Linked DNA regions of Canis lupus familiaris. The protein of the gene in region 5 purifies or fractionates together with the protein of the main gene of each other region. This does not show direct contact. Links are inferred from orthologs where the notes say so. Each region holds a gene or a part of one and is shown on either strand. Other genes may lie near its edges.

The links.
Region 1: the proteins of RNF146 (region 5) and HLTF purify together in Homo sapiens (affinity purification with mass spectrometry; 4 studies listed by BioGRID and IntAct, with this or other methods). This does not show direct contact. The link is inferred for Canis lupus familiaris from reciprocal best matches to the Homo sapiens genes RNF146 and HLTF.
Region 2: the proteins of RNF146 (region 5) and XRCC1 purify together in Homo sapiens (co-immunoprecipitation; 3 studies listed by BioGRID and IntAct, with this or other methods). This does not show direct contact. The link is inferred for Canis lupus familiaris from reciprocal best matches to the Homo sapiens genes RNF146 and XRCC1.
Region 3: the proteins of RNF146 (region 5) and PARP2 purify together in Homo sapiens (affinity purification with mass spectrometry; 4 studies listed by BioGRID and IntAct, counting the BioPlex papers as one, with this or other methods). This does not show direct contact. The link is inferred for Canis lupus familiaris from reciprocal best matches to the Homo sapiens genes RNF146 and PARP2.
Region 4: the proteins of RNF146 (region 5) and LIG3 purify together in Homo sapiens (co-immunoprecipitation; 3 studies listed by BioGRID and IntAct, counting the BioPlex papers as one, with this or other methods). This does not show direct contact. The link is inferred for Canis lupus familiaris from reciprocal best matches to the Homo sapiens genes RNF146 and LIG3.
Region 6: the proteins of RNF146 (region 5) and CHD1L purify together in Homo sapiens (co-immunoprecipitation; 3 studies listed by BioGRID and IntAct, counting the BioPlex papers as one, with this or other methods). This does not show direct contact. The link is inferred for Canis lupus familiaris from reciprocal best matches to the Homo sapiens genes RNF146 and CHD1L.
Region 7: the proteins of RNF146 (region 5) and PARP1 purify together in Homo sapiens (affinity purification with mass spectrometry; 4 studies listed by BioGRID and IntAct, counting the BioPlex papers as one, with this or other methods). This does not show direct contact. The link is inferred for Canis lupus familiaris from reciprocal best matches to the Homo sapiens genes RNF146 and PARP1.

Annotation. Positions count from the first base shown.
Region 1 is NC_049244.1:44,393,713-44,397,212, forward strand, and holds part of HLTF (helicase-like transcription factor), read right to left. Parts: intron 2,968-3,500; coding exon 2,842-2,967; intron 2,521-2,841; coding exon 2,408-2,520; intron 2,052-2,407; coding exon 1,871-2,051; intron 1-1,870. UniProt on the Homo sapiens protein: Has both helicase and E3 ubiquitin ligase activities. Possesses intrinsic ATP-dependent nucleosome-remodeling activity; This activity may be required for transcriptional activation or repression of specific target promoters.
Region 2 is NC_049222.1:112,263,822-112,267,853, reverse strand, and holds the start of XRCC1 (DNA repair protein XRCC1), read right to left. Parts: upstream 2,801-4,032; 5' UTR 2,635-2,800; coding exon 2,584-2,634; intron 2,215-2,583; coding exon 2,122-2,214; intron 1-2,121. Other genes in the region: PINLYP (phospholipase A2 inhibitor and Ly6/PLAUR domain-containing protein), read left to right, coding at 3,938-4,007. UniProt on the Homo sapiens protein: Scaffold protein involved in DNA single-strand break repair by mediating the assembly of DNA break repair protein complexes. Negatively regulates ADP-ribosyltransferase activity of PARP1 during base-excision repair in order to prevent excessive PARP1 activity.
Region 3 is NC_049236.1:17,830,115-17,834,224, reverse strand, and holds the start of PARP2 (poly [ADP-ribose] polymerase 2), read right to left. Parts: upstream 2,801-4,110; 5' UTR 2,791-2,800; coding exon 2,745-2,790; intron 1,447-2,744; coding exon 1,294-1,446; intron 1,017-1,293; coding exon 946-1,016; intron 355-945; coding exon 304-354; intron 1-303. UniProt on the Homo sapiens protein: Poly-ADP-ribosyltransferase that mediates poly-ADP-ribosylation of proteins and plays a key role in DNA repair.
Region 4 is NC_049230.1:38,321,392-38,324,891, forward strand, and holds part of LIG3 (DNA ligase 3), read right to left. Parts: intron 1,792-3,500; coding exon 1,636-1,791; intron 1-1,635. UniProt on the Homo sapiens protein: Isoform 3 functions as a heterodimer with DNA-repair protein XRCC1 in the nucleus and can correct defective DNA strand-break repair and sister chromatid exchange following treatment with ionizing radiation and alkylating agents.
Region 5 is NC_049222.1:66,568,566-66,571,438, forward strand, and holds the end of RNF146 (E3 ubiquitin-protein ligase RNF146), read left to right. Parts: intron 1-620; coding exon 621-1,698; 3' UTR 1,699-2,373; downstream 2,374-2,873. UniProt on the Homo sapiens protein: E3 ubiquitin-protein ligase that specifically binds poly-ADP-ribosylated (PARsylated) proteins and mediates their ubiquitination and subsequent degradation. May regulate many important biological processes, such as cell survival and DNA damage response.
Region 6 is NC_049238.1:58,465,696-58,469,195, forward strand, and holds part of CHD1L (chromodomain-helicase-DNA-binding protein 1-like), read left to right. Parts: coding exon 1-92; intron 93-643; coding exon 644-849; intron 850-1,898; coding exon 1,899-1,997; intron 1,998-3,500. UniProt on the Homo sapiens protein: ATP-dependent chromatin remodeler that mediates chromatin-remodeling following DNA damage.
Region 7 is NC_049228.1:38,477,305-38,480,804, reverse strand, and holds part of PARP1 (poly [ADP-ribose] polymerase 1), read right to left. Parts: intron 3,090-3,500; coding exon 2,847-3,089; intron 2,718-2,846; coding exon 2,649-2,717; intron 2,435-2,648; coding exon 2,302-2,434; intron 616-2,301; coding exon 420-615; intron 1-419. UniProt on the Homo sapiens protein: Poly-ADP-ribosyltransferase that mediates poly-ADP-ribosylation of proteins and plays a key role in DNA repair.

The DNA.
Region 1 (3,500 bases), on a different chromosome or scaffold from region 5:
CCAGTATCTAATCCAGTGCCTGATATACAGAAAGCACACAGCATGAGTGCTTGTTCTGTAATCACATAGTATCTTTTCTTTCCATTTTAAAATTGATCTGTCTGCTTAACGGGGGGGGGGGGGGGGGGGGGGGGGTTATACATCCTCTTAAATGATTTATATCAGAAAAGATCTGTAATTTGCAAATTATATAATTTGCAGAAAAAGGTTTTCTCCCCTTTTGCTGGTCTTTTTCTTTCACTTTCTTCCTTATCAAGAAGCAAATAACTTGCGTATCTGTCCAAAAATCATCGTCTAAGATTACCCTCAGGTTAGTTAATATAACAAATACATGGCTACAATGATTTTTTTTAAATCTAACAATAAAATATTAAAACTCTAGCAAAGATTTAAAACTTCATTCACTGAATTAGTAGTCCAGAGTGCCTACAGCAATCTGTGCTATTAGAAAAAGGTACTGCAGGGATCCCTGGGTGGCTCAGCGGTTTGGCACCTGCCTTTGGCCCAGGGCGCAATCCTGGAGTCCCGGGATCGAGTCCCGTGTCGGGCTCCCGGCATGGAGCCTGCTTCTCCCCTCTGCCTGTGTCGCTGCCTCTCTCTCTCTATCATGAACAAATAAATAAATAAATCTTTATTAAAAAAAGAAAAAAGGGGCAGCCCTGGTGGCGCAGCAGTTTAGCGCCGCCTGCAGCCCAGGGGTGATACTGGAGACCCGGGATCGAGTCCCACATCAGGCTTGTTGCATGGAGCCTGCTTCTCCCTCTGCCTGTGTCTCTGCCTCTCTCTCTCTCTCTCTCTGTGTCTCTATGAATAAATAAATAAAATCTTTAAAAAAAAAAAAAAAAGAAAGAAAAAGGTACTGCTCCTCTGTGGTGCTTCTCTTAGGTCACAGTTTGGTGAGTAAAGTTCTACAGCTAGGCCTATAGTGTACAACCACAAGTGACAATACTGTATTAGATGCTAAAATTTATCCAAAATATTCCATTAATGGTACTAGTTTCTAAAACTGTGATGCTGGACCACCTGTATCTGAATCACCTATTACCTATATAAAAATGCTGCTTCTGGACAGCCCAGGTGGCTCAGCGGCTTAGCGCCGCCTTCAGCCCAGGGCATGATCCTGGGGACCTGGGATCGAGTCCCAGTCAGGCTCCCTGCATGGAGCCTGCTTCTCCCTCTGCCTGTGTCTCTGCCTCTCTCTCTCTCTCTCTCTCTCATGAATGAATGAATAAAATCTTAAAAAAAAAAAAAAAATGCTGCTTCCTGGGCCTCATCCAAGAACTCCTTAATCTCTGAGGACAGAGGTCAGAAATTACATTTTACCTAATTCTTTGCACATTAAAACTTTAGATCATTAGCATCATGATGGTAGCTACTTTGTCTACCTTATTTATAGCCAGATTCCTGGTGTCTCTAAGACTCCCTGACACAACGCAGGATTGTATTATTTGTTAGCCAAATGAATGAAACCACTACACCAAAGCATTACAGTTAATAGAAACTAATTCTATATACAGAGGTAGAAAATCACAGCACAGAAATTAAGAACATAGACCCTGATCCTGGTTTGCATTTTACTGTATGATATTGGGCAAGTTATTTTACTTCTCTCTGCTTCAGTTTCCTCACCTGTAAAATAAGGACAATAAGACCTCACAGGGATCTCTCACAGGAATATTATAGAGATACTGTGAGAATTTCAGTTGATATATGTCAAGTGCTTAAAAGAAAGTCCTCAATAAACATTTGTTATTATCTATTTCTAAAGTTTGTCTAAGAATTTTCAGTTACAACAATGAAGGTATTACCAAATTTATTAAAAAAAAAAAAAAGCTTAATAACATACTGAAAAGTCTACAGAACTACTTACTGGATCCATTAAAAACACTCGAGAAGCTGCAGAAAGATTCAAACCAACTCCACCTGCTTTTAAGGACAGAAGCATTATAGTTGGAGATCCTGCTTCAGTGTTTTGAAAACACTGAATTGATTCAACTCTTTTCTTCTGAGCCATGGAACCATCCAAACGAGTAAACACAAATCCAGAGGCTCTAATGGAGGGACAAAAGAGACAAGTAACACTTTACATACAATTTTTAAAATGTTAAGTAATTACAAATTTCTTCATTCAAACTAATCCTTCCACTCATTTATTCAACTCATTATTGAATATTTATTCAAATATTTGCTAACCATCTACTACCATGTCACGTTCTGAAGTCAGTTTTTTTTCTAATACAGGACTTAATCTTTAAAATTCTAGGCTCCCAGGAAATATTCTTTATTGTGACTACCATTTTAGACAGATGAAATGAATAGAACTGGTAGAACATTATTTTTTGCTCTCCAAATCAAAACACTTACATAAAATCTTTTTACTCACATTGAGAATCAATACTGAATTTACCTGAGCGGTGTTTCTATTAAAGACAGGAATGTTGTAAACTGAGAAACAACTAAACTTTTTATGTTGGGGTTCTTCTTTCTTAAGTCAATCAGTGCATGCATTAGAGCATTAATCTGAAAAAAAACATCAGGACACCCATTAGATTCCATTTTGAATGGGCAAAATACATATAACTTTTTTTTATTAGAAAAGAATGGTCCTGCCCCATTATTTCCCTAAAATGCAAAGTAGAAGACAACTAATGTTTTTAGAAATTAAGACGGAAAGAATACACTCAAACTGAAGTTCCTTGCCTCTTAAATCCACCACTATCAATAAAAATGTTAACACCAACCGAGTATTATATTCAAATGATAGGATTATAAGCAGAATTATTTTAAGATGTGGTATCCTTATATAAAATAAATACTCCAAATATCGTCCATGTGTATTACCTTCGAACTGGATGTCCATTCTGTATTAGACTTTTTCTCAGTGTCACATGCCAGTTCTTCCGGAGGACATTCTAATAAATTGTCTCCATGTATATCATTTCTGCATAAAGGACATTTAGCATGTGGCTATATAAGAAAAAATAAGATATAAGTTTATCCAAGAAACAAATATAAACTTCCCTACAATTTTTTAAAAGTATGGTAAATTCTATATCCTTAATAGCTAACATTAGACTTTTTTATTAGATTCATTCATTTGAAATAAATCTGTACACACTGAACTCCAAGCAGATGTAATATTCTTATGTGTTAAGTGGGACTGGGTAAAAAAGGGAGCATAGCTTATGGTATGTCATCTTGACAAACAGTAGGAATCCAAAACAAGTATTATAAAATAATTAACCCTTAAACATGGGTTTGAACTACAGAGGTCCACTTATATGAAATTTTTTTTCAATAAATACAGCACAGTAAAATAAATGGATTTCCTCTTATGATTTTAGTATTTTCTCCAGTTTACTTTATTGTAAGAATACCACATATAGGGATCGCAGGCTGGCTTAGTTGGAGGACATGCAGTTCTTGATCTCAAGGTCACGGAATGTAAGCCCCACATTGCATGTAGAGATTACTTAAATAAATAAAAACTTTAAAAAGAA
Region 2 (4,032 bases), about 46 Mb from region 5:
CTTGCTACTGCCTCCTCCCCCAGCCGCAGTATTCCCCTTTCCTCTTAATGGTTTAATTTTCCTCCACAGCACTCACCATCTATCTGGTGCTTTACTTACTGGTTTGTCAGTCTTTCCCTCCTAACATGAAAGCTCCACAGGACTGACGTATTTTTGTCTTGTGCTGTCCACAGGACCTGAAACAGCGCCTGGCCTAGAGAAGGTGCTTCCTAAATAATTACTCAGTGAATGAAGGAACCTAAGAATCCATTCACTCCAGACTCTGTCGGTCCTGCCCTTGTGCTGACAACTTCCACTTGTCTGTCTCCATCCAGGTCAGGTTCTGATTCCTAACTGCCACGTGGACCTCAGAGGTCCCAAAGTCACAGCACACCTGGACACCCCAACTGAAGGTGTCAGCTTCTCAAGCTGCCCCTTCTCTGGGTTTCCCATTTCAGTGACAGCTGCAATATCTCCCTCAGTCTCCCCAGCCAAGAGAATCCTGTGCTCGCTCTGGCCCCTCTGGTTCCCTCAACCCCGTGTCATGTCTCTCCTGCCTCGGGTCTCTCTGCTCTCACTGCCACTGGGGTAGAGAATGGAATGTGATCCTCCTGGGGTCACCTGATCCCTAAGAGAGCCCAGCAGAATCATCACCTGGTAATAAACACATGAATCCCTCCCTTTACACAAACATCTACGTGTTGACAGAGCACTTCTGCAGACATTATGTCACCACATTTTCACAATAACCCTTGGCTTAGATCTCATTATTCCCAATGGACAGGTGAAAAAACAGGTTTAAAGAAATGAAAAAATGTGCCTGAGGTCACAGAATGAGTAAGACAGAGAGATGGGGACTTGAATTCAGGTCCCAAGACTAAATCATGAACAACCTGTACCTCCTTCAGTGTGTGTGTGTGTGTGTGTGTGTGTATTTTTTTTTGTACCACCCTCAGTTTAAAACACTGGCTCTTGGACAAGTGGCATAACCTCTCTGGGACTCCGTTTCCTCATCTCTAAAATGGAGGTACTATTAGACTTAGGTCATGGGTTTTTATAGATTCAATGAGTTGATCCACATGAGGTGTTCCAAACTGTAACTGGCAGTTGTAACGTTAAATCAATGTCAGCTCTCGTTATTATTACTATGTTAGGGACTGAGGAGATGTTCAAATTTCTAAAATCAGAAAGTTTTATAGGTCTGTGTATTTTTCCTGGGGAGAGAATCCTCAGCTTCCAATTCTAAAAGGGCTCTGTGACTCCAAATTTTTTCAGAACCACTGGGCAAGAGAGAGATTGAGAATGTGTTCGACACAATCATGTGAGCCTTGCCCTGCAACATCCCTCCCCAAACACCCCTCCGTTCAGAAGTAAGGAATAGAACCAAGATCAAGAAAGCCAGTGTGTGAACACAAAGCAGTGTGACAAAGTGGTTCACAGCACCAATGTGGGTCTGAGTCCTGCAAGCCATTGACTGACGGTGACAGGGGCCCCTCTGTCACACCACACTTGTGAAGAGAGATCATGAAGATGAAACACCCAGGCCAGTACCCAGCACAGAGCAGATGCTTCAAACGCTTAGCTTAGCTCTCTCCTCCCACCCGTTTCTTATCCCTGACAGGAACAGCCCGTCGAATTCCATACCATATGGGGTCAAACCACCTTCTCCTCCCAGCCTCCCTCCACCTTCACAGTGCTGGGATAAGACTGGGTGAGAGCACTCAGAAGAACCCGGCAAGCATTCCTGAACGGACGGAGACTGGCCACTTCACCCCTGCACTCCACTCTGCTTCAGTCTTCCCATCTTTAAAATGGGATTGATTGGTTTCCATGATCTTCCAAGAGACCCCTTCCAGCCCTGTGCCCACTGACTTCAGAAGCAACCTACCCAGAGGCCATACGTTGATTCCTTTTTTTTTTTTCATACATTGATTCCTAAGGTCATCCTGGCCTAGTCCTTGGGCCACCCTTGTCCTCTGCTAAGGGGCATAGCCATCACACGGCCCATTCTCCAGGGAAGAAAGCTGAAGCCCAGAAGGGAAAAGTGTCCTAACCCACTGGCAGCTGGCTCAAGAGCAGTGTGACTGGACCCTGAGTCTCCAGACTCCCCTTAGGAAGCAGACGGGGGGAGGGCAGGATCACCTGGAGCACCACAGAGATGGTCTTCTCGCCTGCCTTGGCTGCTCGCCATTTTCTGTAAGTGTCCGCCTTGAGAAGGTTTTCGGCACAGTGGGTCTGGAGATAAGAGTGGAAAAGGGAAAGTAAGGGTACAGGGAAGCGAGCTCGGTCCTCGGCTCTCAGGTTATTCCTTTGAGTCCTCCGGAGCCGTCCGCGCTCCCCCAGATTTAAAATTCCCCGTTAGTCCCACCACACCCTGCCTCGAGTCCTCTGGAACACCCGGGATGCTCCCCAGTTCCTCCTTTCCTGTCCAGAAGCTCCCCTATCTCTCCCAGAATTCCCCGATAGCCTCCTGGAACCCCCCACAACCCCCACGACCCGCCATGGACTTCCGTGAAGTTCCCTTTCACACTCCCAAAGTTCCTGTAGCGCCCCCGCACGGATTCCCTTACGTCTTCCAGCCTCCCCCCCACGCCAGTTCCTCACCGAGTCCTGGCTACTGCAGGACACCACATGGCGGAGACGGATCTCCGGCATGTCAACGTCTCGGGCTTCGCCTGGCGCCAGAGATAAAAGAAGGTCCGAGCTTGGGGGGCGTCGAGGGGGGAGCGCTCCCCGCGCGGGCTGGAGTGCGCAAGCGCACAGGGCTCGGGCCTTTCAAACCGCGGCGCGCCGGCGCTCCCGTCGCCGCCGCGCAAGCCCAGTTCGCGCTTCTCCGGAGCGAGGCGCTTGGTATCCTAGCAACGGGCTTTCCCCTAGGCCCCGCCTCTCCTAGGCCCTCACCGCGCTCTAGCCCCGCCTCCCGGTGACGTTCACTCTCTGCTTTCTCGGCGCCTGGCAACAGGAGCGGGCTCCGGGATTGGCTCCTAAAAGAAATTCGCCCTTCTCATTGGACGACGCAGTCACCGCCCAAATTGAAGCCTTTAGAACACTAGAAGACCCAAACCTGAGTGATTTTTTTTTGCAGGGACCCTGGAGCGTACCGCTACGGGGTCCTCTACACGGGATTTCTGAAGTTACGCTCCTCCCCGCTACTCCGCCACCACACACACACACGAACAAAATCTCCGTTCTCTTATGCCTGAGGCCAGGAGAGAGTGGATCAAAGATCTAAAGAAGGCACAAAGCATGCATCCAAACGAGATACACACACCCAAACTAGAATGCTTCCACCCATGCCTCAGTTTCCCAATATGTGACCTGTGGGCATATGTGTCCTACCATGCCTGCCCCTGCCTGTTGACAAGCATCCCTCTGTTCCGTCCCCGTGAGACCCAGAGGTGCAACCCCAGGCAGGGTCGGAGCTGGGGACAGCCCAAATACCGAACAGGGAATATAAGCCAAGTGCATGAAGACAGAAGAGACACAGGGTGCCTAGTCCCCCGCAGAACGAGTCTGGACATGCTGGGCACTCCCAGGTAGGGCCCCACCCATGCTGGGCAACTACTGGAAAAAGAGAGAGGGGATCTCAGTCCTACCAGCCACCCTATACCTACAGGGAATCAAGTGACCCAACTCTGACCTTGGGCTTCAGGCCAGCAAAAAGGGGAGAGGAAGGTGGTGGGAATGTGAGAAAACAGGAAAGTGACCTTCTGGGTCTTGATGAAAGAAAGTGCTGAAAGTCAAGAGTCCTGGGGTCCCTGTGGAGCAGGTGCTGAGCATGAGATGCCCATGTCCCTTTTGGATTCTGGTTCCATATCCCCAATGTAGAGCCACAAAGACCTGCCCTGAGATCTTACCTCAGCTATTTCTCACCCCAGGGTGAAGGCGGATCCAGAGGATCCGCCCTTCCTCAGCTTCCTATAAGGGCTGGGGACCTGGGACTTCAGGTTCACTCACCATGAGGACTCCCATGAGACCGGAGACCTTCCTGCTGGCCTTCATGTTGCTCTGCACCCTCCTGGGTCTGGGTAAGTGAGAAGGGGTCTGGACCAT
Region 3 (4,110 bases), on a different chromosome or scaffold from region 5:
GACATAGGGACCTCAGAATCAAAGATCTGGGCATCGGGACCCTGTCATCAGTAACTACCAAGAAAAAAATCCCCATACGTAGAACAGCTCCTCCCGTTACCTGGTTTATTTTTTTAAAAATATATATTCTTAAGATTTTATTTATTTATTCAGATAGAGAGAGAGAGACAGAGACACAGGCAGAGGGAGAAGCAGGCTCCATGCCGGGAGCCCGACGTGGGACTCGATCCCGGGACTCCAGGATCGTGCCCTGGGCCAAAGGCAGGCGCCAAACCGCTGAGCCACCCAGGCATCCCCCGTTACCTGGTTTAGCATGACATCATAGACATCGCTCCCTTCACAGTACACGTGGGCCTGGGGAGAGAAGGAAAAAACTGATGGTAGCGTAACCTCAGGCTTCATGAAATCCTCCATGACGCTCTAGATTTTCTTGTGTCTCAACATGTCATTCCCCAGCACTACCAATATCCACCTTCCGGGGAAGGAACTGCCACACTAGGTCTTCTACACATTAGCTATGATTATCCTATGATGAACACATGTTGCTTTTTTGTAATTATAGAAAAACCAAGGATTCTAATGGCTAAAGGAAACCTGCTCCAAAAGAAGCCTTTCTTGTGTATTCTTCAAAGCCTTTCCACAGTCGTCAGTGACCCGTGCCAGAGCAGGGCAGTTTCTCATTAGAACAAAGATGGATCTTCCCTGAGAACGGGATTATTTTCCGAGAACGAGAACGAAGCGTGGAAAGCTGATGACAACCCCAGAAGTCAAAGACATGTGGATTATTAGCCCCAGACTCCCCTGCTCCCCTCTCTTAGCCTTGGAGACAAGTCATCGCCAGGAGTATCTCGGCGAGGGCTCCGAACTGAATGCCAGCAGCTTGGGGGCAGGAGTCCCAGCAGCCCGGGAACACGCGCTGAGAAACCGAGGGGCGAGGAGTCTCACCTTCCCCACCTTGGCTGCGCACTCGGGGTCCACGGGAGCTCTGCCTTTTAACAGCAGGGTCTTCACAGACTCTGGGGGAAGACAGACACATATGGGAGCTATGTGTGTGGGAATCAGTGTCCTAATGAACTCTGTCCTCCCCGAGCAATCCCCATCTGTCCAGGTGTCAATCTGTCTAAACGACACAAAACCGAAGATTCGGAGACAGGAGAGGCGCACTGTGGTTCGCCCACAGGATAGGAAACTAGTGACATCTTCAGGAAAGGAAGACGTGAGTGGAGAGGACAAGGCGTCCCTCGCCCCACCTCTCCCGGAGGCACTCCCGCGGGCCCACCGCCCGGAGCTGACCTGGCTTGTCTTCCGTGCTGCCATTACCGGCCCCTCCTGCAGTCAAAGGCCCCCTTTTCACCCCCTGCCTCTGGCATCTCCGAGTTTTCTTTGCAGGAGGAGGGTCTTCTCCAGCCGTGTTGCCATTATGAACTCTTCCAGCTTTGTCGAATGCTGCAGAAGCCACGGGCACGAAAAGTGAGCAAAGAACCAAAGGGAGGAATGAGTACCCCCGAACACGGTCCTACTTTGAAGAAAACATCATCTTTTTAAAGAAATGGTCCAGGACGGCTTCGTAAATTTATAAAGAAATGAGAACTGCCAAGCCGCTGGTCCTGGTGGTAGTCTGGGGAAATCCCTTCCTAAATTGCAATTGCAGCCAAAAACCTAAACAAAGTAAAATGGAGCCCCGGGGCTCTTGGGAGCTCGAGCTCGCAGGGGAGGCAGGAGTGTCCCCGCTGCTCTTATACTTGTGCCCCGAGCCTTCCCAGTACCCAGAGGCAAACCACACAGTGCTCTGCGGTCTCCTGTTAGGAGCCCCGTCCCTTCCCTTCCAGCGGCGGGAACTTGCGGAAGTCACGTCACCTCTTTGAACCTCAGTTGCCCTGACTGTAAAATCCAGAGGCTGACAGCGATGATACGGAATTTGTAGGATGGACCTCTGCACTTAGGTGCGTAAGAGAGAGAGGATGGTACCCACCAACCCTGAGGCCTGAATGTTGATGGCAACATCTGAGAGTGGGACGCACTGTGTGTGGTACGGTGGGTGACACGCAGTGTGCACTGTACAGCGGGTGACACGCGGTGTGCACGGTACAGTGGGTGACACGTACACTGTACAGTGGGTGACATGCGGCGTACACCATACAGCCGGTAACACGTGCACGGTACGGTGGGTGACATGTAGAGTGCACCATACAGCAGGTGACACGTGCACGGTACAGCGGGTGACACGCGTATGCACGGTACAGTAGGTGACACGTGCACAATACGGTGGGTGACACGCAGTGTGCGCTGTATAGCGGGTGACACGTGCACGGTACGGTGGGTGACACGTAGTGTGCATCGTACAGCGGGTGACACGTGCACGGTACGGTGGGTGACACGCGTCGTGCACCATACAGCGGGTGACACGTGCACGGTACGGTGGGTGACACGTAGTGTGCATCGTACAGCGGGTGACGCGCGGGCAGGAGTTGTCCGGCCTCTCCCGATGCCACATTCGCGCACCCCCCGACTGGCTTCTTGGAGTCGGTGACGGCAGCTGGGGAAGGAGGGTGCCAGCGACCGGAGGCCCTGCCCGCAGCCACGCCGCGACCCGCTGAGCTCGGAGGCGGGACGCGGGCGCGGGGAAGCGCAGCAGAGAGCGCCCCCCCCCGCCCACCTGGCGCCCGCCCCGCACCTGGCGCCCCCGCCCACCTGGCGTCCGCCCCGCCCCGCCCCGCCCCGCGCTCCCGCCCCCGCGCCTGCACCTCTCGCCCCGCCGCCGCCGCGCGTCCCCCGCCGCCGCGCCGCCATGGCGCCCGCTCGTCCCCGCCGGAGCCGCTCCCGCCCGCTCGCCCGCCCGCCCGCCGCCGGCCCAAGGCGGGAACGGAGCGCCGGCGCATGCGTCCCGAGGCGGTGCGGGGGCCGGGGCGGGGCGGGGCTCCCCGCGGTATTTGCATGCTGCTGTGTGTTATGGGAAGTCGCCGTGAGCGAGAAGGGCCGTGCGGGCGGCACTTTATAAGCGGCGAGAGGGCTGCGCTGCGCAGGGCGGCGGGAAGCTCAGCGGTGGGGCCACGCGCGGAGTGCGCGTCACTCTCTCGGCCCCTGGGAAGGTCTGAGACTCGGGCCAGCAGCGGCCCTAGCAGGGCCCTCCCCGCGCGCGGGGGGGTGAGTTCCCAGAGAGCGGGCCCCGGAGAGGGCCTTCGGGCAGGAGAGGCCGCGCGCGCGGCGGATGCCCCCTCCCCGGGGCTTGGAATAGACTCACGGCCGGCACGGTGAGTTCAATGGCTGGGCCGGGGCACCCGAGCAGGCCGGCGTCGGGCCGCGGGGCTCCGGAACCCAATTCAGACTACTCTCCCCCGCCCGCTTTTGCCCCCCCGACCCCGCCCTGGCATGGGGGCGTCCTAGACGCGCTGAGTCTGAGTCTTCCTTTCTTCTATTTCTACTTTAGAAGTACTATCTCCTGGAGGAGCGAGGAGAGCGCGCAGGAGCGGGGTGTGCGTGCATGTGTGTGCGCGTGTGTAAGGGGGTTCCTCGCCGGGTGGGGCCGCGCCTGGCCTGGGCCGAAGCCACACGCTTGACCTCCCGGGTGCCCTTAGCCCTTATTTATTCCTGAGAGACAGAGAGACACACACACAGGGAGAGACAGAGAGAGAGACAGGGAGACAGAGAAAGAAACAGGCAGAGAGACAGTGAGAGGCAGAGAGAGAGAGAGACAGGCAGAGCCAGAGAGACAGACAGACACACACAGAGACAGAGATAGGGAGATAGAGACACAGAGAGACACGGAGAGAGACAGGGAGAGAGACAGGGAGACAGAGACAGAGACAGGGAGAAACAGGGAGACAGAAAAAGAAACAGAGGCAGAGACACCGAAAGAGGCAGAGAGACAGAGACAGAGAGACACAGAGACAGACAGAGACACAGAGAGACAGAGGCAGAGAGACACAGAGACACAGAGAGAGAGAGAGAGGGGCAGAGACACAGGCAGAGGGAGAAGCAGGCTCCACGCAGGGAGCCCAACGTGGGACTCGATCCCGGCACCCCCCGGGTCACGCCCTGAGCCCAAGGCAGATGCTCAACCGCTGAGCCCCTCGGGCGCCCCTAATTCTTTAAAGGTTCTACCTCCAAATA
Region 4 (3,500 bases), on a different chromosome or scaffold from region 5:
TAAAGCCAGGCCAGAACGCAAGAGCCAGGCCCCAGAAGGAACACAGAACACCAACACGTGGAAGCCAAACTCAGGTCCAGAACAGACCTAGGCCTTACCCACCACTGAGACGACAGTTCGAGAGAGTGTTCGAGACCCAGGAAGAGGTCGGCCTGGGCTGAGCCACTCTGGGCCATGATGGAAAGTTTGGAGGAAAAAGGAAGAAACAGGGAGTTGGGTATGTGGAGGAGGAGGTAGGGGCAGACACCTGTGGAAGGGAGGCAGCAGTTCAAGCAGCAGGCACCTGTGGGGAGAACAGGTGAGTTATGACAAGATGGATGGAAAGGAGGCAATGAACCCTCTTAGGAGCAACAAGGAAACAGAAGGGTCTTCTCCAGGGTGGGAGCTTGGGACCCGCAGCCATCTTCAGAACAGTACGAAAGGACGTTTGCAATCAGAGTTTTTCCTGATACAGGCAGATCCCTAGTCTCTGAGAGTTCCAGACAGGGAGTAGTCCCACTGTGACGGAGGGTGGCCCCTGCCACATGATACCAGCAGTGAGGTCCGGAGAGCACACTTGCTACCTATGGGGCTTGGAGTGGGGAGAGAGGAGGCCTGTATAACTGTCCCCCAAGCACAGGAGAGACAAGGGACAACTGGTAAGAGAGAGTCAGGAAAGGTCTAGAACTCTGAAAGCTGGGCCCAAACCTCTTCCAGGTAGCAGAGGTGCCCACTGAGCAGCAACCCAGGAGAGTTCCTGGACAAGGTTACTGGGCCCCACCAAGCCGGTGAGTCTGCACTAATCTCCCTGGGGAGGCCAATGCTTAGCCCTCCTCTGCATATCTGAAATGAATGGCCCAATGCCCGGTGCTCCAGCAGGGAGGCAGGGGTGAGGGAAGCACGCGAGCCACCCAACACATCTCCTCCACCCCCAGGGCTCTGAAAAATGGAGTCTGTCCTGGGAGAGAAGGCATAGCAAGCACAGAGAGTCCCCTCTACTCAAAGGCTACTGGGGCCAGATATCCCAGCAGCTTTTCCCTGAGGAGTGCCCCAAAGCTCACAGAAACCCTGGCTGCTGAGGACTCAGGGGCAAGGTTCTTAAAGCCCCTTAATAAAGGACAGGAGTCTGTGCTCTCAGATGTCCCCACTGGATTGTGTTTACATCACAATGTAAGCTTCTGGCGGGGGAGGAGGGCAAGTACTTTTGTCCATTTTTTTTTACTGCTGTACATCCACTATCAAGAATAGCACCTAGCGCAGACTAAGCACTCAGTAAAGGCTTATCAAATTCATGAAGGACAGCCCAATAGCTTCTTTGTCCCTAACCTGTAATTTCACTCGTGGAGCACACAGGACATGGAAACGCAGAAGACAAGCACTGCAAGTCACTTGCCAGGTGAGCTCATGGTCCCAGCATCAATGTGGGCAAGGGGAATGTCACCGTCCCCTGGGGCTCTGTGCTAACCCAAGTGTGGGATCTTCGGGTGTCCCCACTGAGCAGCCCTTCATTGCAAGACTCCAAAAATACATACATTCATTCAACAAATACAAAAGAAACTCTACTGCATACCAGAGCTGAAAGGACTACAGAACCACAGCCTCGAGGTTCTTAGGGGAAGGGAGGGAGATGGTCCCAGCAGAGGAAGGGACCTGTACCTTGTGAGGCAGCACAGGCTTAAGGCTGCGGCTGAAGTAGCTGAAGTGATCCCCGTTCTTATGCACCTGGACTCGTTCCCCATCGTACTTGATCTCGGAAAACATGCCGTTAGGACACTTCTTCATCGCATGCTCGATGGACTTGCAGGCCTCGGCCTTGGGAGGGGGAAGGGGAAAGAAAAGCCTGGAGACTTATAGGTGTTCTTCACTGGGGGCTGCTTGGGCATGACAGCCCCAGAGTCCAGGTCCCAAGGCCTGCTGACCACAGGATACCCTCCAGGCAGACTGCTCAAGAGCTGGGGGAAATGTACAAGGCTAGGCAGTGCTTATTTGGACTATAAGCATCACTGCAGCTAAAACAGGAGCTGGGCTTTTGGGGACTACAAATAAATAAAATTCCACTGAAACAGTATTTCATTTTTTTTTTCTCAGTAATTCAGGATCTTGCAGGGCCTTGGCTTCCTATTAAACACAGCAGTAGGGATGCCTGGGTGGCTCAGTGGTTGAGTGTCTGCCTTTGGCTCAGGGTCCTGGGATCGAATCCCACATCGGGCTCCCTAAGAGGAGCCAGCTTCTCCCTCTGCCTGTGTCTCTGCCTCTGTCTCTCATGAATAAATAAATAAAATCTTAAAAAAAAATCCCCCAAAACAGCAGTGACCTCAGCACAGGAGATATGTAGAGGGGAAGATAAAGAGAGGTAGGCGACAGAGAGGCTGGCATGGTAGCAGTGGTCAGAGAGCCCCAGGACAGGCCACAAGAGTGCCTCTGCACATACCAGTGCCATCCAGACTCAACCTAACCACTACCATCCTGGGGGTGTCTGTATGTGTCAGATCATCTTATGTGATAGACACAGTTTTCATTTTATGGATGAGAAAACCAGTTTGAAGAGCATTAGAAGTCCTCACTTCAAGTTATACAGCAAGTGAGGGGCAGGAATGATGCTAGGCCCAACTCCAAAGCCTGTGTAGTTTATCACGAAACTATCTAACCTATACACTCTTTGAATAAATGGCAGGTTGTACAACAGACTCCAAGAAGAATTCGTATGAAAGTCAGAAAGATCACTACTGTGATCTGAGTCCTGTCCCTGGGATGCAGAGCTCACTACTTTGGTGCTGGCCGTGCCACATTCCGGGAGAGAGAAAACACTTCCCCATCCCAAACACAGAACCCTAACCAAAGGCTGTAGTCTATATTGTAGACTACATGTCACAAGACAGGCTCATGAAAGGCACTGCACCCCAATGGAGCAACCCCAAGGCTCTCACTAGGCATGGCATTTGGGGAGGGTCCCACTGCCCAGAAAAACCAATGTAGATAGGAAATCCTACTTCTCATGAAATGAGCAGAGGCTCAAGATGATCTTGAGCAGATGCTCAACCACTGAGCCACCCAGGGCTCCCATGTTATACCAAGTCAGACCTGGTCTTCATTCCTTAGGCTTGTTTCCAGAAGAAAGAGGTCAAGTCACTGTGTCACAGGAAGCCTGGCTCTGCCACTATAACTGTCAGAGCTACTCTGGGGTAGGTCACAGAACTTTAGGAGTTAATGTATCCACCTATCTTTAGGAAAGATGACTGAAAAAGGATTCTAACTAGATGCTTCAGATGGTTTCATACATAATTCACGCAAGGAAATGAAAAACCAAGAAAGGCTAGGTAATTCATTCCAGATTCTACAGCTTGCTGGCGGCAGAGCTGGGCCTCAAGTTCAGACATTTCTACCAGACCACAGTCTTCTCCTTCACCTTTATACACCCATTGAGATATACCCTTTTGCATCTCCATTGTGCCTGACCCAAACTCCTCCGACATTCATACCCTCCCAGATCTCACAGGGAAGGTTAGAACATCTGGACAAAG
Region 5 (2,873 bases):
CCTGATCAAGGGAAGGTCTGGTGGGGATGAGGCTGGTATGGGGGCTGAGGAGCGGGACCACTGCAGGACACAAACATCCTGGTCTTTATCCTGAAATCAACTTTTTAAGCAGGAGGTAAGACTGGAACAATTTAAAAGGCATATTCAGGCATTTAATGAACACTGTTTACTGGATGGCTAGGGCAGAGATGGACAGTAGATGGATTCAGGAGAGTGGGATCACATTGGTAAGACCTGCTGATGTTTTGGATGTGAGGAGTAGGGGAAGGGCAGTGTCAGTGATGGATTTCAAATGGCTTGAAAGAGCAGATGGATAATGTTATCCCTGGGGGTGGGGAGCTTTTAGGGAGTAAATAAGGAGGAAACAGATCATGAGTTTATTTTTGGCTTAACATTTGTGCTTCTCATTGCTCCCCACAAGTAAAAATTCATGACAGAAAAAAATCAAAGATTTTTCTGCACAAGTTAAATTCTTTTTCTTTTTTGTTTTCCCATTTTCCAGTGTGTAGCACACATATACAGTAGGTGCTTAATAAGTGTTTTCTGAATTGTTGAATTAAGAAATTGGAAGAGTTGAAACGCAGTTTTAATGTTACGTGTATCTGCTCTCCTTTTCTTAGGATGGCTGGCTGTGGTGAAGTTGATCACTCGATAAACATGCTTCCTACGAACAGGAAAGCGAATGAGTCCTGTTCTAACACTGCGCCTTCGCTCACTGTCCCTGAATGTGCCATTTGCCTGCAGACCTGCGTCCACCCCGTCAGTCTCCCGTGTAAGCATGTGTTCTGCTATCTGTGTGTAAAGGGAGCTTCATGGCTTGGAAAGCGATGTGCCCTGTGTCGACAAGAAATTCCTGAAGATTTCCTTGACAAGCCAACCTTACTGTCCCCAGAAGAACTCAAGGCAGCAAGTCGAGGAAACGGTGAATATGCGTGGTATTACGAAGGAAGAAATGGGTGGTGGCAGTATGACGAGCGCACTAGTAGAGAGTTGGAAGATGCTTTTTCCAAAGGTAAAAAGAGCACTGAAATGTTAATTGCTGGGTTTCTGTATGTTGCTGATCTTGAAAATATGGTTCAATACAGGAGAAATGAGCACGGACGTCGCAGGAAGATTAAGCGGGATATAATAGATATACCAAAGAAGGGAGTAGCTGGACTTAGGCTGGACTGTGACTCCAGCACGGTCAACCTAGCGAGAGAGAGCTCTGCCGACGGAGCGGACAGCGTGCCAGCGCAGAGTGGAGCTTCTGTTCAGCCCCTGGCGTCTTCTGCGAGGCCCCCAGCATCGGTGGATGGTCCCTTAACAAGCCCTGCCACGCCGTCCCCGGATGCGAGCACTTCTCTGGAAGACTCTTTTGCTCATTTGCACCTCGGTGGAGACAGCATAGCTGAAAGGAGTCACAGGGGGGAAGGAGAAGAGGATCACGAGTCGCCGTCCTCGGGCAGGGTCCCCGCACCAGACACCTCCGTGGAGGAGACCGAGTCCGATGCCAGTAGTGAAAGCGAGGAAGTACCTGCGCTTGGTGCACAGCACTCCTTGACCCACCAGAGACTTTTGGTTCCTAGTGTAAACCAGACAGTATCTGATAGATCAGATCGATCGGGGACTGATCGACCAGTCGCAGGGGGTGGAACAGTGAATGCTGGTGTCCGGTCTAGAAGACCTGATGGCCAGTGCACAGTAACTGAAGTTTAAATACGACAGTCTTCAGCTCCAGGCTCAAAGTTAAGGCAGCGCTCTGTAAATTTCTGCCCACGTAACATACTCGTCCCTGGTAGTGCGTTGTTGGGAGCTGGGGGGGGAAGGGGTGTGGGGAGGACAGACCTGTAATTAAAATGTCTAACGTGTCTCTGTTGAGGAATTTATTTAATATAAGGAACTTGGCGTTAATAGTTGAGAGCTGTTTAGTAATAACCCAGTTTTCTTGAGGTCTGTTTATTTTATAGTTTTTAAAAGTTTCTTCAGTTCCTTTGGCCAGCGTGTGTGTATTATCTGTGCATTAACAGTCCTCATCTGACTCTTGCATTGTGTCTTACTTTTCTGCATGGATTGACGTAAAACCATTACTAAAATCTGGCACCTCTGAGGTGTCTGGTATCGGTATGAGCAGGAAGCTTAATGTGAGAATAGATGTGAATTCGGGATTTTAAAATAGATGAATAACAACTATTAAATAGTAAAGTTACCGAAATGGAAGTGTAAAGAAAACAGCTAATAACTCCTGTTTCAGAATCTTGTCTGTAACATACTCCATGGCATTTCCCATAGGCTCTGCTGTCTGGTCCTTGTAGTTTGAGGTTTCTCTTGACCTGCATTTTTCTTTTTGATTACAGAATTTATAATTTAATAAATACTAGAGTTTACCAAAAATAACTTGTCCGTTGTCTGAGTGTGGAAAGAAGATGAAAACATTTTGACATTTGTGGCCAAAGGTCAGTAACCAGGTGGTGATTTGAATCGGTTGTGCTCAGCTTATTCAGCTGCTCAGAAGCTTGGTTTTTTAACCGACTCCACAAGCAATTGCGTGCAATAAATACGTATGGAAGTAAACCTAACGCTCGGGGGACCTAGACGTCTGACGTAACTGGTAACAGGCACCACGCACCCTGTAGACTGTCATTGCCGGCCACCATTAGTGGCTTGACGCTAATGAATCCAACGGTAGGTTTATTTATAAACAGCATTAGTAGACACAAACTTAAAACGTAAAATCTGTGGCAAAATAAGTCTTGGATTAACTTGGTGATCCCGAATTTGGTTCCGAAAAATGGTAATGTTTGTCTTAATATAGTTTAACTCAAAACCGTAGGATTGTGTTGAAGCGTATGCAGGTTATTTTTAATGTTTTTCAAATGTGAATTAAATGTTAC
Region 6 (3,500 bases), on a different chromosome or scaffold from region 5:
AGAAGGAAGAAGAGACAAGAAGCAGCAGCTAAGAGAAAGAGACTAATGGAGGAGAAAAAGAGGAAAAAGGAAAAGGTGGAACACGAGAAAAAGTATGTATTATTCAATGATATTATAAAAAAGCTGGTGAGGGTCATGTTTTAAGGATACACTTAATCTGCAGTTGAACACTTTAAAATTGCAGTAAATTTTTATAAAACTGGTAGCTCCTTCTGATAATAGAATATTTTTTTTTAAAGATTGAACTTTAACCCTAACAATGTACTTTTGCAAAATGTCCTGAGTGCCTAAGGTAGAAAGACTTATTCAGTTGAAGTGAGAAGATGTTAAGATTTTATTGTAGCTGTCTGACAAAGAGTAGTTCACTTGAAAGTACCTTAATCTTGTTCTTAAAAACAGGGACATCCAAAAAAAAAAAGGGACATTTGGTGGCTGCTCTTTATTGAAGTATAGTCAGGAGGCAACTAGGCTAGTCAGTAAGACTTCTTGTTGATTTACAAATGAGCAGAATACTGCAATCAGGGTGACTATCTAATTGCATTTCCACTGGGCACTTGGTGTTTGTGAATAGCAGGATGGAGTATGCTCTGAGGGAAATTGTGATAGGCCAGGTTAATTTCCTTTTCTCTCTGGCCTGTTGAAGGATGGTGTGGTGGGAATCCAACAATTACCAGTCCTTCTGCCTGCCTTCCGAGGAGAGCGAACCAGAGGATCTAGAGGACCAGGAAGATGAGAGTTCTGCCCAGCTGGATTATGAAGATCCAGATTCAACTGCCATCAAGTATGTTAGAGGTGATGTCACCCACCCACAGGCTGGGGCAGAGGATGCTGTCATCGTGCACTGCGTAGGTAGGAGAAGTTGTACCGGCCCAGGATGGGTGCCTTGTTCTTTATGGTGCTAAGAACTGGGGAGGAGGAGGCAGAAGCCTGACCAAGGGGTGGTTATGGGGCCTGACCAAGGGGTGATTATGGGTCCAGTGCAGTCCTGCGGTCAAAAGGGGGCACGTTTTAGAATCCAGCAACATAGATTTGACTCTTGGTGCTCTCCTTTAACTGGTTGCATAGCCTAATCTCCTGGGCCTCAGGTTTCTTTATTGGTACAGTTGGATAATTTCCTGTTCTCTGCACAAGGTGTTTAAGAAGGGGGAAGAGACATCTTTTGAGAAAAAGTAAAACTCCAAGCATGTTCCCCCCACTTCTGTGATCTTTGCACTTTTTACTTCCTCTGCCTGGATCCTCTTTCCACAGAGAGCCACAATAAGTATTGTTTAAATGTCTGCATCTCCGATCTCCCCTAAGTGCCTCACATAAAACAGACCCCACCCCCATGCTTCTATTATTCTCTACCCTTTTTCCTACCTTATTTTACTTTATTACATGTATCACCACATACATATTATGTATGTGTTTGTTTCTATTATTGTCTCATTGCACTGGAAAATAAACTTGATGGGAGCAGGATTTTTTTTTAATCCACTGTTGTAACACTAGTTCCTAGAACAGTGTCTGACACATAATACATGCTAACAAATATTTGTAGGATGATTGAATGACTGTAAATAGAAGGTACTAACCAGCTATGTTAGTAGCAGCTCAAATAAGTCATTTAACATTTTTTCTTCCTTACCTGTAAAATGGGAGTTGTATGCTATTGTATTACCAATGCTTTAGTTGTTGTTATGTTACAACTGCTTTCCATCTTTCCTATTATGATAGCCAGGTGTATTCCATAAAACCTAAACATATTTGAGAAGTCTAACCCGTGGTATTCCTGGGAGGCCACATAGGTGTTTCTTCCCTTTGAAAAACCATTCTCCTACAAATCTAGTTGGCATACTTTTTGTGTTTTTGAATTGTGAACTGGAATTTGGATGTTTTTTGTTGTTGTTTTCTATCAGATGATTCTGGTCGCTGGGGCAGAGGTGGTTTATTCACAGCTTTGGAAACACGGTCTGCTGAGCCAAGAAGAATATATGAGCTAGCTGGGAAAATGAAAGGTAAGAATCAAAGCAGAGAAAAGGGGTAGGAATGGAATAAACGAAGAGAGAACACAGGATAGGTATCACATGGGTTATGAAACATTAAAGAGTTAAGAGAGCTAGTTTGGAGTCTCATTAGCTAGTTTTATCATCATTAAACTAGTTTTGTGACTTTGAGGCAGTCTCTTACTCTCCCTGTACCTGTTTCCTCATTTGTAATTTGTGAATAGTACTTGTTCTACCTACGTCATGGGACTATAATGAGGAGAGTGGATATACAGGTGTTTTGATAATGTCAATCCCTGTGTGCGTGTTCAAGTATTGGCATGAAGAGCATTTCATTGTTTACCTCCACTATGACCAACTCACCCCATCTACATAAGGGAATATTTCCAAAAAATGTCAGACCTGTAGGAGAGAAATCAGACCCACCATGAAAGTGCTAACAAGAGCTCAGGTTGAATGTTGAAGAGGAAGAGGTTGTCTTATGAGGTTAGTATACGCTGAGATACAGCACTTCTTAGAGACAGAAGTAAAGATGTTTGGGGCCAGAGGAACTTGGAAGTCTCCTTTGGCATGGAGAAGGAGAAAGGGTACCTTTTATGTGGAAAAATCACAAAGTAGCAAAAGGAGTAAAATTACTATTGTCATTATTTCCTGGGGACTTGAGAGGCCAAGGGAGTTTGTTCAATAGAGAAGAGCCCTTCAGATTCCTCAGATTGGTTTTCCCTAATTCTTCTGCCTAGTTCTCTAGGGTAGAAAGGGATATAAGGACCTAGAAGGAATACTCTTTCTACTAAAATAGCTCACTGACAGAAGATTTAATAGGTTAAAATAACTGAGATCTAGATATTGATTGGGCAGTGGGAAAGCAGAGAATTCAGGACAGATCAGAGCTAGACATCAAGACCGAGGAATGCTTGTTTGGATCCTTGTCTGAAACTGTGAAGGAAGCAGGATGGGAAAATGAGAGGCCAGAGAACAAAGCATGGAAAAAACCTCCACTTAAGAGAAGCAACAAGAAGAGGAGACAGAAGGAATTGTCAACTAAGAGAACCTTGAGAATGAAAGAGGAGAGGATGTCAGGAAGGTCTGCATTGTCAGGCACCAAGTGAGGGTGAGAACTGAGAAAAGGCCTTTGGATTTGCATGACCTTGGAGAGGAGACTGTGAAGATTAAACCTACATTGCAGAGTTAAGGTGTAAGTGTCAATGACAAAACAGGGTTGAGAGGGTACGTTCTTTTTCTGAAGAAGAACTGAATTAGGGTAGATGAAAATGTGGGCTAGAATTACCAGGGAGTGCTTTGTGGAGATAGTGAAAGTAATCTTGGGCCTGGAAAGATAGGTTGAATTTAAGTGGGTGGAGAGAAATGGAAAAAGACCCCTGACTATGTCTCATACTTTTTGATATTCCCGCAACTCCTGTCATTCCCAGTACAGGGTATTGAATGACCCAGGCAGTTACATGGTGAATGTGTTTAGGGAATGGTGTGTAGGCCAGGCAGGCCAGAGGAGGGGGT
Region 7 (3,500 bases), on a different chromosome or scaffold from region 5:
CATGCGCTTTCTATCTGTGAGGATGCCCATGTGATTTGTTTACTATATTCTTGCTGCAGTGCACCGGTTTCTGCGTGTTGGGCTGACCTTGCATTCTCAGGTATTAAATCCTGTGCTGCGCCCCATTAAGGACTGTGTCTATGACCCTACGGACACTGGAGTTGTCCTACCGTATCTCTGGCTTTGGTGTCACAAGCCTCACGTTTGGTAGCATTGGCCTCACGTCACAAGCTGGGAAGTGTCCCCCCACCCCCCCGACTCTTATTTGTGGGAAGAGTTTCAGAAGGATCAGTGTTAGTACTTATTTGAGCATTTGGAACCATTTACCAGAGAGGCTGTCTGACCCAAGGCATATTACAGAAACTCTGGCACCCATTGCTTTTGCCAAAAGCAGATGATGGAAGAAGCTAAGTGATTACCTGGCCATAGTCAATCTCCAGAGGGTAGAATTTTTTGGGATGCTTCGTGAAGTTCTTGGCGTGCCAGGCATTCCCAGTTTTCTCTTCATACAATTTCATAAAGTGCTCGATGGCTTCCTCCTTGGACGGCACCTGCTCCAGTTTGTTGCTGCCAATCACGGTGCCCACACGGCCCCAGGACCGAAAGATCCAGTACCTGTGACAGGGCGTGGAGGGAGGGTAAGGATCAGATACAAACTGTGGGCTGGCCACTCACATCTCGGGAGGTTTCTCTTCCCTGCCACTCCACTTGGAGGAGAAAGAGCTTCAACCCCCAAGATGCTGACTGATACAGAGAACAGAAAAAAACACTGTAACAAAGGACTTTTGCTTTTGATGGAACTGAGGAGTAGAACTTTAAAGAAAGCCCCTTCAAATTTCATCATCGGTGAATGGGCCCTAGGACATGCCCAAGAACAGGTTACACTGCCATCTGGCAGGCAAGCTTGTGGAGTGAACCCCGGGGCTTATAATAAACTATAACTTTATATAAACACCTGATTTCACTCCTCAAAGAAATACAGTAAGCATCATTTGGCAGTCCTGTGCTCAAGAGATGCAACCGTTAGGGACATGCTTGAAAGATTCTGAAGGCTCTGGGGCTCAGCTCAGAGGCTGAGATGTGACAAGCACTGGGTGTGTGTGTCTGTGTGTGCACGGGGGCTCGTGTGCACGTGTGTCAGCAGCATGGAGGCTGAGCCCACAGTGTAAGGCCACCATTCTCTGTTCCCATGTCAACCTGGGGTACACACCACAGGTACCCGACAAGCTGTGCTGCTTAGTTTTTTTTTTGGGGGGGGGGGGGGGGAGTTCGTCTTTCTTAAAATAATGGAAATAATGTATAAGCTGAGTTTTAAGTCACAATAAGATGGTATCAGAACCTCAGACACAAGATTTATTTGTATGCATTTTTTTTTAATTTTTTTTTTTTAATTTTTATTTATTTATGATAGTTAGAGAGAGAGAGAGGCAGAGACACAGGCAGAGGGAGAAGCAGGCTCCATGCACCGGGAGCCCAACGTGGGATTCGATCCCGGGTCTCCAGGATCACGCCCTGGGCCAAAGGCAGGCGCCAAACCGCTGCGCCACCCAGGGATCCCATGCACTTTTAAGAAAACCAAAGAATTTAAAGAAGATCTAGGGCTTCCTGGAGGTTTTCTGGGTTCTTGCACAGAGATTCAGAAACGCAATCCCTGCTTGTGTTTTTCCCTGGAAAGGTCTGGGAGGTGCTTTCCCCAACTGTCCTGAAGAAATGTCCAGATCTGAAAGCCCATGCTGCCCCTTCAGTGAAAACCAGTTAAAGTGGGCCACCAGAGCAGATGATAATCCACATGCTGGAAGGCTTATTTCTTCAGAAAATCTAAGTAGCCTACTAGATAGTTTGGACCCTCAGGGTCACTTCTGAGCCACTTTCCAGGTGAAACTTTTGGTGAGAAGTAGAGGCAGTGGGAAGAACCAAGCCACCCACTGCTTATAGATAGCCGCTGGCCACGGTTTCTTAAAAGGGCTGAGTTGGCTCCCACAGGGCCACCGCTACACAGCTTCTGCCTTTCAACTAACTCCTGGACTTCCAGTGGGGAAAATTTCTACTTGCTAACAAGAAACAGTCCAGGTTAACCCACAAGTTCTGGTCCCACCAAACTGTACCTCCAAACGTGTGTACAGGGGTCAGACACTCTGGATTCAAAGGGCTGTTAAGAGTCCTGGGAGATGGTGGGACAAAACACACCCTGTGAAGCTGGGGGGCCAGACTCTAGGGAACCAGGCCTCCCCACACCCCTCTCGGGCCTACCCCCTTCACGGGGCCACCTCGCAGGCATTCCGTCCTGTCCCCAGAACACACCTGCTTTCTTTGTCATCCTCCAGGAGCTGCAGCTTGTAGTAGGAGTTGGTTCCCTTCACGATGTCTACCAGGCCTAGGGTGGCGCTGAACACTTTACCACCTTTCTCCAGAACATGTGCAGAGTGTTCCAGACCTGTGGAAGAGGCAGGGTGCCCTGTTTTAACTCCCATGAGGGGCCAATGCACTCTGGGAGAAGGAGGTCTGCAGGCGGTAAGGGGCGGGGGGCTTTCACACCCCCAGACACCATACTGCCAGTCAGATGACGCCCAAGAGGTAGGAGGGCACAGGTGCAGCCTGGGCACCCTAGTCTCTTGACCACCCATCCACTCCCGCTCCTGTGAGCTCACCTGAATCTGGATCAACAGCAGCACCACCTTTCAGAGTTAATTTCATTCTCTTCTCAGATTTGTTGACGCCTTGGAAGGGGACAAGAACTGTAACTGCTCAAGTAAAACAGAACTAGGAAATACGGGTGGGGTGGAAGGCAGGGCGAGGGAGCAGTCTGCCAGCATCCACAGACCATCTCAGGAGTTTGTGGGCCTCACCTTCCTCCTTGACCGGGCCCTTGCTCTTCTTGGAGAGCGCAGCTCCTGATTTGGCTTTAGGGGCTGCAGGCTCTGCTGGCTCTGCCTTCACCTCAGCCCCCCAGGGAGCCAGCACATGGGCGGAGAGCAAATCCTGAAGGCTCCTGGTGGAATCAGACACGTCCCGGAGAAAATCCTCAGATACCACTCGGATGCTGGCCTCTCTCACCTCCTCCATCTTCTTGTTCATCTTCTCCACCTCCTCTGTTCAAACCAGGGGAAGAACGGCCGAAGCATTAACTGTGAAGTAAAGCCAGAGCCCTGCTGACTGAGCCTGAGCCCCTCCTTGTCACCTAGTGCTGGGGGCCCATGTACAGTGCCGCCTCCTGCACACGGGTCTAGGCCTGTGGGCAGATGCACCCCAGAAGAGGAGCCACCTGCAGCCCAAACGGTAGGAAAGTGCTCGACCCTGCACCTCCCCAGGGCATCCCCAAGCACACAACAAGCAACTGGTTGCCCCTGCTCTGCAGGATGCCCCTTAATTCTATGGACAATTTCCCTTACATGTGGAAGCATTCTAGTTTGATGTGGTCCTGTTGGTCTGTTTTTTTTCTTGGGTGCCAGAGTCAAAAATCACCAAAACCAGGGTCAAGGAGCTCACCGTCTATTCTGTGC